2 linked regions of the Rhinolophus ferrumequinum genome follow. The protein of the gene in region 1 purifies or fractionates together with the protein of each later gene. This does not show direct contact. Links are inferred from orthologs where the notes say so. Each region holds a gene or a part of one and is shown on either strand. Other genes may lie near its edges.

Region 1 (7,116 bases):
AGATGAGGAGGCAATGCTGCGGAGAGCCAGGCTACCTCAAGGGGCCTCCATTCACCCCATCCCTCCCTCCCTGACCCAGTGGGTCACCAGCCTGGGTTTCATCTCTGGCCATAGCCCACTACGTCCTGGCCTCTGGGATGAGTCCCACCACCAGCATCCAGGGGCCTGAGGCAGCTGGTATGTGCCCCTTTATGCCCAGGCCAGGCCTCCCTACTCTGCAGCCTGTCCAGACTGCTCCTTCAGGCCCCCTCAAGGTGCCCTCCTCCAGGCAGCCTTTCTCTCCTGGGCCAGCTTGTTGTCTCCCTCCTCTGCGCTCCAGACCTCAGCTCTCTGAGACTGCAATGCCCAAGAGCTGCAGTTTGGGAGGAAGTGGGGCCCACTTCCCTGTCCTGAGTACTCTGGGGCAGAGACTCTGTCTTCCAGTGTCTCCTATACCTCCATCCTCACTCCCAGAGGCAGAGGTGGGCAGCCACCTGGCCATGCGCCCCAAGCCTGGGGATTCCCTCCAGGCCTGCTGCAGCTGTGAGTGGGACCCTGGAGTGGCCAGGGGTTGAAGGCACTAAAGTGATCTGTAATGTGCCAGCCTGGGGTGCCTGGCTTGGCCAGGTTGTAGGCACTGAGGGTGGCAAAGTCCGTCTGATAGGGAAGTGGAGAGACACATGCCCCTACCCACTATATAATGGGGGCTCAGTATAGTTGGAGAGAGGGCCACCAACCCCAAGGGAGGTAGGTACTCCACAGGGGCCCAGGCATGCTATCTGGAGAGGACTTCCTGGAGGAGGTGATGGGAGCCTGGCTGGGAAGATGAGGATGCGGAGGGAGGCAACTTCTACAGTGGTGAAGGGAGAGGAAGCTAGGCTCCAAGAAACCCCCCCCCCTCCGGGGTGGGGTTGTGCGGGCCTCGCCTCCCGACGCCTGAAAAGTGGCTCCCCTGCACCTTTCTCCCAACCCTGCTGGCAAGCCCTCCAGCGGGGAAAGCGAGTGTTCTGTGCCCAGCGCCAGCAGCGCCCGCTGCGCTAGCAGCAGTACAAACTGGAACCTGTTGCCACCTCCGCACTGCAGGGCTGAACGCAGCCAAGGCCCCCTCCCCCGACCCTCGCCAGGCCCGCTCCGCACTCGGGCCTCGGCAGCGCCTGCTCGGGGCGCCGGCCCCTCCCCGCACCCGACTCCCGGGCGGGCTGGGGAGGGGAAGGCGGGCTGCGCGCTGGGGCCTCACCAGGCTCCCTCCGGCGGGCGGAGCCAGGCCGCGCGCTCGCCGCAGGGTGGGCGCTGCGCCCGCAGCCCCAGCCCACGCAGGGCACCCCTGGCTTCCGCTGGGCCAGGCCACTGCCCCTGGGAGGACACGGGGACGTTGCCGCCGTTAGGCCCGGTGCGCGCCGCGTGCGCCCTCTGGTCCCCAGAGCCTTCGGAGAGGGGCGCCCCGCCTCTCCCTCCATCCCCCCCATTCCAAAATGCACGGTTCCCGCCGGGCCGAGTGGCAGGATTTCGGCTGTCGCGGCCAGGTCACATGGTCGGGAGCACAACTCCCAGCGACAGCGTTCCTGCCAAATCCAGTGTCTTTTCCACCAAATCCACTTTCTGCTGGGGATGGCTTTCTGCTTTTCCTGGTCGGTCTCCTCGCGGGACTGGGAGTTCCTCCAAGGCAGGAGCGGGTGTGTGCCCGGCCCCAAGCTGGCCTCAGCTCCCAGTGCAGGGCCTGGCACCAGCCGGGCGCTCACGGAAGAAATGCTCGTTAACAAAGAAGGCATGAATGAATGAAACCAATTGTTGCACGAGGGAGCCCATGAGGGTGCTGCTCCTGCTTTTTCTCTCAGCGGGTCACACACTCCCCCCAGACATGCACAAGCACACGTGCACACACAGCTCTCCTCCCAACACACACGCAGACTGGCACACACACTGGGTGAACTCCTGTCCTCGTGGCACCGACCTACTATGTGCTGCCGCCTCCATCTAAGTGCCTGCCTCTCTGCCTCCTCCTCACCCCCACTCCCGGTGCCCCGACATCTAAGTACGGTACCTTGTGCCCTAAGTGCCTTCTTTATCTTAGGGAAGAGACCAAGCCAGTCGCTGGGGAGACTCAAGGTCTGTTTAGGGAGGCACCTGGGGCCCCTCAGGATGGCAAGCTGCTGCCCAAGGCGAGCCAGAGGCGCCTGGCAGGGATGTCACCAAATGCTGCAGCCTCTAGAGCCCGCGTGCCAGGTGTTGGGGGTGCTGGTGGGAGGGACTCGGGGATGTTCTGGGGGCTGTTGAAGGCTATTTGCGATGGGGGCGGGGCTGGGTGCTGGAGAGAGAGGATCCAGCAGGTGTGCATACATGTTGGGGTGCCTGAGAGTGCGAGCTGGGGAGTGTCAGCCTCTGTGGTGTGGGGTAGTGTTGGGGCTTCGCTTGGGGGTGGGTGGATTGCAATGTCTCTGGGCTGGGAACGTGGGTGGGGTGTCTGTAATGAGCATATGGGGAGTCGGAGATGGTGGGGGCACCGAGGGGAGCTAGGTTAGTGCTGAGAGTGCAGGGATGTATTGGGAGTATGTGTGAACCGGGGTGTGTACTGAGGCGTGGCAGGGTCTGTGATGGGTGCTGGCCTGAGTTGGGGACAGTGGTGGGTTCCGGGCTACTGGGATTTGCACTGCAGGGACCTGGGTCCACGGTGCACGGTTTGTGTTCGGGAGTGTAAGTGGCAGGGGGTGTGCGTGGTGGACGACACCGGAGGTGCAACGGTCGGGATGCAGGGGGTGTGCGGTGGCAGGACCGAGTGTGTCTCACAGGGGCGCGTGCGTCGGCCCCGTGGGGTGTGCGTTGGCAAGACTTTGGGGGTGCAGGGTGGAGGAGCGCACGTCGGAGGGCGGCCAGGCCGGGTGGGGGTGGGGGTGGGGTGGGGTGGGGGTGGGTGCTCTGGCGCCGCGTGCTCCGCTCACCTCTGCTCACCTCCGTTCCGCTCGGCTTCCTGCGCCGGCTCCGCGCGTGGCGGCCGGGAAGTTTCCAAAGCCGGGGCGGCGGGAAGCGCCACCGCCACTGCCGCCGACCGCCACCGGAGCCTCGGGCGGCGGCCTCGCCTAGAGCCGAGGGGCTGCCGCCGCCGCCGCAGCGGAGGGAAACTCCAAATCCCGCCTCCGCCGCCGCCTCCTCCCCTCCCGTCGCCGTCTTCTCCGCCCCCTGCCCAGGAGGGGCACCGTCGCCGGCGGCGCGCAGGGAGGGAGCGGGGAGGGGCCGCAGCCTGCCCGGCGTCTCCCTCCACCTCCCCCGCCCCTGCCCGCCTTCCACCCACCTGAAAGCCTTTGCTCGCTCTGCCCACCCAGGCCCCTGTCTGGATGCCCCCCAACAGCCCTGCTGCGTGGGGGCCACGAGCTTGGGGAACAGGAATGGGGTGGGGTGCCCTGACCTAGGCCTGGGCCTAGGCTGGGGGAGGGTTGCACCGAAGAGTCTCCACTGGCACCCCTGCTTTCTGCAAGAGAACTGAAGGGGCCCATCGAGGACCGGGCACAGATTGGCCACCAGGGCCACTTCCTGCAGCCGCAGGGGTGAGGGCTTAAGGTCCAGCTGACTACACTGCAAGCGCCCCCAACCCTCAGGCTCCCCTGCACTGTCCTCTCCCAATCTCACGTATCAGATTCTGGCTAATAGTAATATCGCTTGAGCTTCGGTGCCTGGAAGGGGTGGAGCCAGGACTTTGGGGGAGGGGTTGGAAGGGGGTGTTGTCAGGAGGCCCAGTGTGCTTTCCTCTGCACGGAAGGCCACAGGCATCCCCCATCAAGGAACTCCTTTTGCTTTTGCACCAGTCTGGGAGTCAGAGGAGACTATTCCCATGCCATAGCTAAGGAAACCAAGGCAGTGGTTTCCTGGTGGTCAGGCAATAATGTCGTGGCAGAGCCCCAGTGGGCTGAGATGGGCTGAGTTCCCCAAGCCTCAGCTGAGTGTGAACAAGAAGGCCCACCGGTTCCCAGATTGCTCACCGCTGTGGGGAGGGGGAGGCAGGGAGGGAGGCAGGGGGGAGCACACAGGGGCTCCCAGGCCAGTAGTCAGGTGAGCTGGGGCTCAGCCCTGGAACGAGACATGAGGGATGCTGAGAACCAGCATGAGGCTGTGGGCTGGCTTCTGGCAGGGGGTTCCCTTCTCAGCCCAGGGAGATCAGAATGAGGCAAGGACAGGATGGGATGACATCTTTAAGGAGGCTGGCAGAACTGGGATGCCAGCCACTCCATGGATGAGGGGCAGCCAAGGGAGGCCTGGCCGCCTGGCTCATGTCTGCGACAGTGCTGAATTCCCCTGAGTCATTACCTCTGGAAGAGAGAGGAGGCAGACAGCTTTGTCTTTGGTGCCTCAGTTTCCTCATCTGTACATTTGGGTAGAAAGGAGGACCTCTTGATTTCCAAGGGCCCTCCTAGCTTCAGGGCGGTTTTAATCCATTATGTGTGAGCTGGGACAGGGTCCTGCTGCCACCAGGCTGCATGCCCGCCCTGCCCTTTGGCCCCTTCCAGCCTCAGCAGATGACCACTCAGGCCCTTTCTGGGCTGCACCTGCTGGTAGGTGCATCTGCCAGGCAGGCCCAGGGTGCTTCCTGGGGCTGGGCTGTCCTTTCTCCTTTCCTTCAGCATTAGGGATCCAGTGTGGAGCAGAACTGTGCAACCTCCACCACATGGGTGAGCAGACAGAACTGTGTGCAGGACCTCCCGCTGGACGCTGTGCTTCTCTGATAGCCCTGCCGGTTGTCCTGAAATTTAGGGGCCTTTGCTAAGAAATCAACATACGCTAAACTCTGTGCCATATAGCAATAGGGCCATTTTGTCAGCCAAAACATGAAAATACATGGAGACTGAAAAAGATGGGGCCAGCTGTCACCCGTTGGTGGTCCTCCCATTTGGGGAAGACCATGGTGGCTGTGCCCATGGCCTGGGCACTCAGTTGGCCCCTGGCAAAGGCTTGGTGAGCTGACTCACAGAGAAGTTTCTGGAAAGATTGGATAACCAACTCCCTCCCTCCCCCCCATCCTGCGCTTTAGTGACTCAGGGCTGAAGGGCTGGAGGAGGAACATTTGGATTGATTGATGGTGCCCCCCACCCCTGCAAAACACCCATCCTACCCTCCCACAGTGCCTGTGCTCTCCAGGCAACAAGACTCACCAGACTGGAAGAGAAGAAGGCTAATACAATGGCCAGGCCAGGCCCAGGAGCTCTGAAGGCACAGGCCTGCTCTGCCTCAGAAAATGGGACCTCCCTCCTCACCCCCGGAGACCTGTCTTGGCCAGCAAGGCCTGGCCTGTGCCCTGTTGAAGAATAAAATGGAGAATGTTCTTGAAGAGGACTTGAGTACGAAGCCAACCATGTCGGAATCCAGGTTGTTCTAAAGGCACAGCTGGCCTCCATCTTGGAAGCCACGCCCGTGTGTTCAGGTCCTATCTGAGGGTGGGGTGACTGGGCAGCTCTAGCCCTCACTCTCTCCTCTCTGGCCATGCCCCTTTTCTCACCAGAAGCCCAAGGCTCTCAGCGGGGGACCAGGAACTGCCGGCCCTTGGCAAGGTGGAGGGGCAGAAAGCTGGGCCTTGCTTGGGATGGAGAGGTCTTCAGCCTGGCCATGCGTATTGCTGGCCCTGCTTTGACAGACTGGGCCTTTGGCTGAAGGCACCTGTACCTGCTCTGTTCACCTTTTCCAGGTCTCAATTCTGGGCTACTTTACAAGTAAGTGGAGGTTTGAGGAGAGGCCCACCCCATCTGGCCCCTGCTTAGAGACCCTGCTCCCATCTGAGGGACGCTGGCACTTGGGTACATGCACAAGGCTTTATTTCTGGGCAACCATTTGGTCCTACTGAGAGCAATACCTACAGCTGAAGCCATTTGCTCACCTGACAACCGCTCCCCCCAGGCCACCACTGGATAACAGGCTTCAGTCTCTCCTCCCCCATCAGAGGCACCTTAGCCAGCATCTTCTAGACGTGATACCAGTTGCCATACCTTCAGAAGCACATTCTAGACCCTGTTCCAGGGCACCCAACCTGTTTGCTGCAGTTCCCAGTGGGGCTACATCCGGACATTTGAAATCAAATGGCCCTGGTGACGGCTCCCAGATCTGCACTTGCAGCTGAGGTGAAAGGGTGAGGCAGCCCCAGGCTAGAGCAGGAGGGAGGGGAGTTCGAGAGAGCCCGCCTGTGCTGAGATTGATTTCTGAGGGGCCAGGTTCTCAGGAGCCATTAACACCCCCATTCCGGGAGGGCTCAGGTTCAGGTTCAATAACCTGGTTATAAACCCCCTCCGGCCAGCTGTGTTGGCTCCTTCCCCTTCTCCTGTCCTCCCAAGCAGCGGCGTGTGTGTCTGGATATACATTACAGATGATATAATCCTTGTGCTGGGAGAGAGCCAGACGCCCACACCCATTGGCTGGACAGGCAAAAGGAGGTGAGAGGGAAGAGGGGGGAGAGTTGGGAGCCCTTCCAGCCCCCACTCGGTGGAAGGGTAGGAGAGAGGGAAGCAGATGACTTCCTGGCTTGTTCAAGGGAAGTTGAGGGCTGAATGGGGCCAGGAGAGAGGGGAGCCACTGAGGGTGGAAGGACCAAACTGCTGCGACCCGCCAGTCACTTTGAGGAAGACCTCTATGAGTGGCTTACCTGCCTTTCTGGCAACATCTCTCATTCCCCCCCCCCCCACCTCCAGGAATGTGCCTCTCGAGTGAGGCCATCTCATCACGGGAAAGAAGATAATATATGAAACAGGCAGTGAGTCCAGCGCAGGCTGGGGCTCATTCTGACCCCTTGCACTGGCTCAGATGTCTGCGAGAGGAGGGGGGAGGGGGCTTCTGGGGATGCTTTGGGTTTTTCTTACCTTGTTCCTCAAGGGTCTGCTCCCGCTCTGTCACAGTACTAAGGACCCTGTCTGGCTGCATCCCCCCACCACTCCTCTGGCCCCTCCCAACACTGCAAGGCCCAGCCTGGGCCTCCTTTGGTTCCTTGCACCCAGACCAAGGCCCAAAGCCAGGCTGTGTCACGTACTGTCCCGGGGTCAGGGTGCACCAGCACCTCTCTGCATCTCTCCTGGCACCCCTGGAGCCATCACCCCCTGGTCTGGTCTGGGACCATCTCTTTGCCGCCAGCCCTGGACCTGGAAGCCCTAGTGAGTTTCTCACAGTGAC
Region 2 (7,079 bases), on another chromosome or scaffold:
GTGGGCTTCACACCGCCCACCTCCCTGACTACTCTGGGCCAGGCCTGGGGGTTGTGCAGAGGCTAATGCCCACCAGCTGACTGAGTCCACACCTTCCCTGCTCTGCCGCCCCAGAGACCAGGATGGTCAAGTGTTGGCAGATGAAGCCTCGGGTATGGGAGGGGCTGGGGGCAGCTCAGGCCCAAAAGAGATCCCAGAAAGGACTGTGGTTCCAGAGAGGTACAAGGAGGCAGCCCTACCAGGCAAGGAAGTTGGGGGATTGGGCTGGCCGGACACCTTCTGGTGGCCAACACATCCCCCAACCCCCTTTGGGCTGGGCCACTAGGAGCCATGGGGCTAGGGGTGGGCATGGTATCAGCCTACCATCTGGACCTTGAGTTCTCGGGGACTGTTTCTTTCTGAGGTGAGGGTCCCCCCAGTACACATTTAGTAAGCCCTTACCTTACTGTATGCAGACCCCACCAGACACGGCTGGCTCTGGGGTAGACAGCCCGGTGTCCCCCTGTTTGAGGCAGTGGGGCCATTAGGGGGTTTTCTCCTCTGTCCCCTGAACCACCCAGGATGACTCAGGGCATCAGTAGGGCTCAAGGGCCCTGTGTGGGAGAGCAATTGGCACCTTTGCTGATGCCAGAGTCGGGGGAGCTCCCAGTCATGTCCTGCACAGGGCAGGGCCTCTGAGCTGTGCCACCTGCAGCCACCAGGCACGTGTGTGTGCAGGTGAGTGCACAGCATCTGTGCGTCCATCCCCTTAGGCTGCATGCACTGTCCTGGGCACTAGGGACACAGCAGTAAATGGGACAGACACAGCCAGCTCTGGGGGAGCCCCTGTGCCCCAAGAGTACCAGCCTACGCAGAAAGGGGATTTGGCGGCTCCAGAATGAGGAAGTGGAGGTGGTGCAGCTGCAGGTATGGCTGGATCCAGGTGCTCACATGTCTGGGTCCCAGCCATCTGAACTGCTTCCCAATTCATGTGGGTTTATCCTTGGGCAGCAGAGATGCTGGTGGCAGGCAGCCCCAGCCTGTGACTCTTCCCCTCGGGGCACATAACTGGAGACTCCCATTGGGCTAGGACTTGACCATGAGCCACTATGCATGGGGGCGCCCCGTTCAAGCCCCATGGAACGAGGGTGGGTATCTCCCACAAGGAAGGGGTACTAGGCAAACAACTGACAGCCCCTGCCCAGGGACCCCTGAAATGACACTGCTATGGGCACACTAGGCTCCCCGCTTCCCAGAGTCACAGCTAGTCAGGAAATCTGAACAAGTTACTGCTAAATCAGAGTTAGGAGGAAGTGCTGAGCCTGGCAGGGGGCATTGAGGCCTGGCTTTTAGACTGGACCTGTGTGGGCCACTTCTGCCCTCCCACCCTCCACACTCCCAACAACCAGGCAAGAAGATGAGGAAGTCAGTGAGACCCTCTTCCGCTCTGAAGCGTGGAGATAGGGGAAGGGCCGCAGGTCCATCAGGTGGGGTGCCCGCCTTGGAGGACAGGAGTGTGAATGCTCCAGGGCCGGCCTTCCGTGGGGCTGGTGAAGGGTAGATACCGGGCTTGGATGTTGGGGTGCATGGGAAGGGCAGGCCAGCCTTGAGTGGTCAGGATGCTGACAGACCTCTTGCTTTCCACTTACATTTTCTCCAAGGTAGAGGGAGTGGGGAGAGACAGTGATGGGAGGGGGCCGCCGGAATCCCTGGACTTTTACTTCCAAGTTGCAGGCACCACCCCCTGGCTTAAGAGCCCGAACCCTACCCCCCCACCCCAGCCAGAATGGCATTTTAAGAAGTTTATTGTGACCTCTGGGAGAAGTGCAGCTAGCCCAGCAAGGGGCTGAAAAGGCGGTGGCCTGGACCAGAGGAGGGATGAGTGGACGTGGAGAGAAGAGCTGGGCTCTAGATATTTAGGGGTGACAATGAGTCACAGGGTGGAGAGAACAGGCCAGGCCTGGGTAGGCGGCCCTTCTGTTCAGCCCCCTGTCCCCCAGGTGAACACACCCCATCTTACCACATTCCCAGCTGCTGTCCCAGCCCCACACCACCCGCTGCTCCAGGTCCAGTGCTCTCACCCAGAGGTGGCAACCTTGACGTGGTGGCCTGGGGGATGCTAGGAAAATATGCAGCAGACTTCCCATCACCCTGATGTCAAAAGTCGGAAATCCGGGCTGTGCTCCTCCCCCACCAGCCTGCCACAGGCCTCTGCCCAGGGCCACCCATCTTTCTGTTCCTTAAGTCCTTGAGAGTCAGGGCTCTCTTGATGCCGGGCCCAGCTCTGCTAGTGTCCCCTCTCCAGCGGGTTTCCCGACCTGCCCTACTCTGCCTGCCGTCACCCCCACCGGAAACTCTCCCTAGCCGTTCCCCTGCAGTGTTACAACCCGGACCCTCCCCAGAAGACAACGTGGTGGGGCTGCTCAGTGAGTGTCCCCACTCTGCATGATCCACTGAGCCCGGCAGGGAAGCCGCTCCTCTCTGGTCAGCTCTGACCACTCACCACCGGGATTCCGGGGGAGCGGTGGGCAAGGTCCGGCATGGGCTTCCTTGAGCAGGCGGACTCCCCCACCCCTGGGGAGAGCACGGGGTTGCCCAGCTTCCGCGCAGCGACCCGGCCGGTCGCCATGGGAATTCGCTCTAGCCCGCGGGTCCGCGCAGACAAAGGCCAGGCCTTCCCGGGGCCCCACAGCCCGGTTCCCACAGCCCGGCTCAGCTCCCGCCCAGCCCTCGGCTTTAGCTGAAGCCCCATTAACTCCGCACAAAACCTCGGCCACCGGAGAAAGGAGCCCAGGGCGGGGCCCTGGAGGAGGCCCGGAGCGGGTGGCGAGGGGAGGGATACCGCCTCCCGGGGGGGGGGGGGGGGGGAAGTGAGGGCCGGTGGCTCGGGTGGCGGGCGTGGCTGGGACTCAAACCGTTTCCTTTCTCACTTCTCGAATCCCCGGAGTCCGGATTCGCCAGCAGACATGTCTGTTTGCCCGGTTCTGCGTTGACGTATTTTATTTTCATTTGGTTGCCAATATTTAAAAATCAGGAGAGTTCCATAACTGGGGTGGCCAGTTAGCTCAGTTAGTTAGAGCGAGGTGCTGATAACACCCAGGTTGCCGGTTCGATCCCCGTATGGGCCAGTGTGAGCTGCGCCCTCCTTAAAACAACAACACTCAGGTTTTAGTTTGTTTCGAAAAAGCAGAAGGTTGCCCAACTCAGGAGCCTAATTTCCGGCTTTCCTGGGAAGGGCAGCCCAGCCACTGCCTGGGCGGGGGTCAGGAGGCGTTTATCCAAGGGGAGTCCTTTCCTCCGAGCCCTAGTCACTGGAGGGGGAAAGACAAGCAGATGCGCCGGCCCAGAGCGCTGGGCAGAGAGCGAGACTATCCTGCTGGCACAGGGGAGCACCCTATTAGCCTGTGAGAACTGAACCGTTCAAGCAAAGTGCGTTGCAGGAGTTCGCAGCCCCTGGGAACTGCAGTTGGTTGCCAACTACAGGGGCTCCCCGATACCTGGGAAAGTCAAAGTGGGCTTCCTGGAAGAGGTGACAGTTGACGGGGCTGTTTCAGAAGGAGGAAAGGTACCAGGCACCAAAGAAGACCCATTTGGGGAAAGCTTCTTATGGGGACAACACCCTGGAGGGTCCCCGGGCGCCGCCGCTGTCCCTGGTCCTGACAGGCCTCGCAGTTTCCCCTAGAGGCGCTGGGCGGCCGACGTCAGAGGAAGGTCTGCCCGGAGGCAAGCCTCACCGCCCAAGCCAGAATGGCCTCCACGGGGAGGGGCCAGGCTGGCCCAGGAACCGAGGCGCCATCTGCCCACCGCAGAGGGGCGGATTCAACCCAGTGCCTCGCTGTTATTAGGCGGTGTTTTCTATGTTGATGAGAAATGTCTCCCAGGGTTCGCCCTGGCTTCTTTGATTTTGAGTGTTCTACTTCATTTCTGAGGAAGCAGCTGGTGGCGGGGGTGCAGGGCCCGGCAGCAGGTGTGTGGGGAGGGGGAACGCGTGGACCCGAGCAGGCGAAGGGAGTAGTTGTAAGTGTCGCACCGGAGCAGGGAGGGACGGGGTGCAGGACCCGAGGTGGGGAGAAGGGAGGTGCCGGCGCTGGTGTGGGCTGGAAGGGTGCGGGAAGCCGAGCGCGGTGCGAGGCGGTGGCGGCCTGGATCAGCGGCTCCCGGGCGGGTATTTGGAGAGGTGCATGGACCCCAGGAGGTATAAGCGGGAGGGGCTGTAAGTCGGATCCTGGCCTCCCCCTCCCCCCGGCGGAGGCCCATCCTCCCCGGGACCGCCCCAGGGAGACGGGAGGAGTGCCGGTTTCCGCTCAGCAGTGCCTCGGAGGGGCAGGAAGCCGCCTTGTCTCCGGGAACCCCCTCGAAGCCCCGCCCCGCGCACCGCCCTCCGTGCGTTCGGCTCGCGCTCCGGTGCGGCGGGGGGCGCGGACGGACATGTCGGGTCCGCGCGCAGGCTTCTACCGGCAGGAGCTGAACAAGACCGTGTGGGAGGTGCCGCAGCGGCTACAGGGGCTGCGCCCGGTGGGCTCGGGCGCCTACGGTTCCGTCTGGTAGGGGCGGGGCGGGGGGGGCAGGGGAGGGACTGAGCGCGCGCCACCACCCTCTCCCCGCCCGGCGGGGGTTCCCTGAGTGGGGAGGGGCCTCGCCCTGCCTCCGCCCCAGGCCCTGCGCGGATCTGGGGAATGAATGGGGGGTGGGAGACGGGAAGGAAACTTTCCAGACGCGGCTCCGGGGGGGGAAGAGGGGTCGTCTCCCGCTCCTTCTGAGCCAGAGTGACCCCCACCAGGCCAGAATCCTGCGGCGTCACAGCCGGCGAAAGGGCGGGTCTCCTGGACCATAGACGTCCGAGCACGCATCTGGGTCGCCCCGTTTAGGCTCTGGCAGCCCAGAGATCTGGCAGATGCCCCCGCCCTAGGGCGGGTACTTTGGTTTGTAAAAGAGCCCAGCTAGGGAGAGGGCAAGACCCCTCCCCTTAGGATGGCCTCAGGCTTTCCCGTGGGTCCTGCCCCTTCCCCAGTCTTGCAAAAGAGTCTGGATGGGGCTTAGGCCTGAGCAGAGACGTCTGCCACTACCCCTACAATCCTTAGGGGTACACCCCACCCTGTTTTTGTCCCAACCAAAAGAGCTCAAGACCACAGCCCCACAGTTAGGTCCTGGGGCCCAGAGAGAGGACAGAGCCTGGAAGGGAGACGGAGGGTTCGAGCGCTGAGGTCTTTTACCCTGGAGGGTGGGGAAGCTTCAGGGGGCTTAGGGTGAGTGAGGTGGTTGCAGGCAGTCCCGGCGTCACTTGTAATGTTAAAAGTGAAGCTGATCGTGGGTGTGGATGTTGAGAGGTGTCCCCCTCAGCACTCAGTGGGGTCCTTACCCATGCCAGTAGCAGGTGACTGCTGTCCACTGCAGGGGTCATGCGGTGAGGAGGCAGGGGCCCTCGAGGGGCTGGCATTGCTCCAGGATCTGGAAGGTAAAGAATGGGATTTCCAGTGGACCCGAACCTGAGACCCAGTGTTGGACTCTGGAGGAGGGGTTTGGGTTCCCCATGGTCTCTGATCTCACGCTGTCAACGCTGTCAGGAGCCTCAGGCAGGCCATTTTAGCCACAGCCTCTGTCTTATCTCTAAGATGGCAAGGGCAAGAGGGTCAGGGACAAAGTGTGAATGGCCCCTGGGGAATCTGACCGAGCCCTCGCTGGAATTGCCTCTGGCCCAGAGTCACCTTCTGGGAATTCCTCTTGAGTGTCAAGCTCCCAAGGGAGGCCCAGGTCTCTCTCCACTGCACTTAGCTTGATGAGGCCCAGTGCCGGTGACAGCCCTCTCCTGGGCTCCCTTGTTCCTCTGATGAAGCTGTCCCCCCAGGGCCAACTCCCTGTGGTTCCACTGCACAGACACAATGAGGCCAAAGGATCTGCTGCCCCACCTGAGGGGCCCACCCCTACTTCCCACCCCAGGAGTGACTTGAACCTTCCCCAGCAGGTCACAGGCTAGGAGGAGGGGCACAGATGCTCCAGGAGCCTACCTGGCTTCTCCTCCCCCCACCACCTGGTTCTGCAGGAGCTGCTGGTGGGACTGTGTGGACTCCGCAAGGTCCTGAGGCAGGAGGTGAAGAGTCAGGGAGGCGCAGCAGTTAGAGGGAGCGGCCTGTGGAGCTAGTCGCCTTCAGCAGGGCCCTGTCCTGGGCACAGTGGGCGTCAAGGGGGGGGGTGATGCCAGTGACTGTTGTGTCTCCCCATGAAGAGGAGATGGGTGTGCAGGTGGAGGGTCTGGACCTCTGAGGACGGGTTGAGCCACGGAAGATCTGTGGATGCAAATACCACCTTCGGCTAGACATTTCCTTCTGTCGGGTTGCTCACTGTTGCAAGTAATAATGCCAGTTTTTCCTCCCTATTTTGCGTATCCAGAGGCTTTGGAGGCAGCTCTGAAACCTTCAGGGAGCCTCCAGACCCACAGCCCATGGGGGAGGGGGACTGTTTGCTGTGGGAATAGCCAGTAGCTGTTTTTCTGGTGTGTTATTTCCACCCTGGTCAGTGGACACTTTGCTCTCCCAGCCTCGCTGAGTTGGGCGTGAGAGTCGTGGGGGTGAGGGGACAAAAGATCCAGTCCTGCTCTGGGGCTCTCTGGTGGGCAGGCTGGGAAGGCCTGCGTGTACGGGTGCCGTGGAGGGGGAGTTGCCTCTTGAGGAAGGAGGCTCAGAGGCCGAGCAGGTCACATTCTCATCCCTGGGACCCTGCGGCAGCACACGGATGGCGGTACAGCCCCGAGAGATCCTCTGGAGCAAACGGGCCGAGGGAGGAAAGCGGCGGGCGAGCAGGGGTGGGTTAGCGGTGCCATCCCCGCAGAGGAGTGGCGGCGGGGGGTGTCTGTGAGCGCAAGGCCCTCGCCGGCCGCCTCACCCACGCCCTTGCAGCTCGGCCTACGACGCGCGGCTGCGCCAGAAGGTGGCGGTGAAGAAGCTGTCGCGCCCCTTCCAGTCACTGATCCACGCTCGGAGGACGTACCGGGAGCTGCGGCTGCTCAAACACCTGAAGCACGAGAATGTGAGCTGGGACTCCCCGCGGTGGCGCGCCGGCGGGCCTGGGCCGGGTCGCCCTCCTGACGCCCCTCCCCGCCAGGT

Evidence for each region. The genes of interacting proteins can lie anywhere in the genome.
Region 2: the proteins of DUSP9 (region 1) and MAPK11 purify together in Homo sapiens (affinity purification with mass spectrometry; 4 studies listed by BioGRID and IntAct, with this or other methods). This does not show direct contact. The link is inferred for Rhinolophus ferrumequinum from reciprocal best matches to the Homo sapiens genes DUSP9 and MAPK11.

Annotation. Positions count from the first base shown.
Region 1 is NC_046284.1:6,765,724-6,772,839, forward strand, and holds the start of DUSP9 (dual specificity protein phosphatase 9), read right to left. Parts: upstream 3,092-7,116; 5' UTR 2,926-3,091; exon of another isoform or gene 2,916-2,925; intron 1-2,915. UniProt on the Homo sapiens protein: Inactivates MAP kinases. Has a specificity for the ERK family.
Region 2 is NC_046293.1:431,502-438,580, forward strand, and holds the start of MAPK11 (mitogen-activated protein kinase 11), read left to right. Parts: upstream 1-4,052; 5' UTR 4,053-4,407; coding exon 4,408-4,523; intron 4,524-6,872; coding exon 6,873-7,002; intron 7,003-7,077; coding exon 7,078-7,079. UniProt on the Homo sapiens protein: Serine/threonine kinase which acts as an essential component of the MAP kinase signal transduction pathway.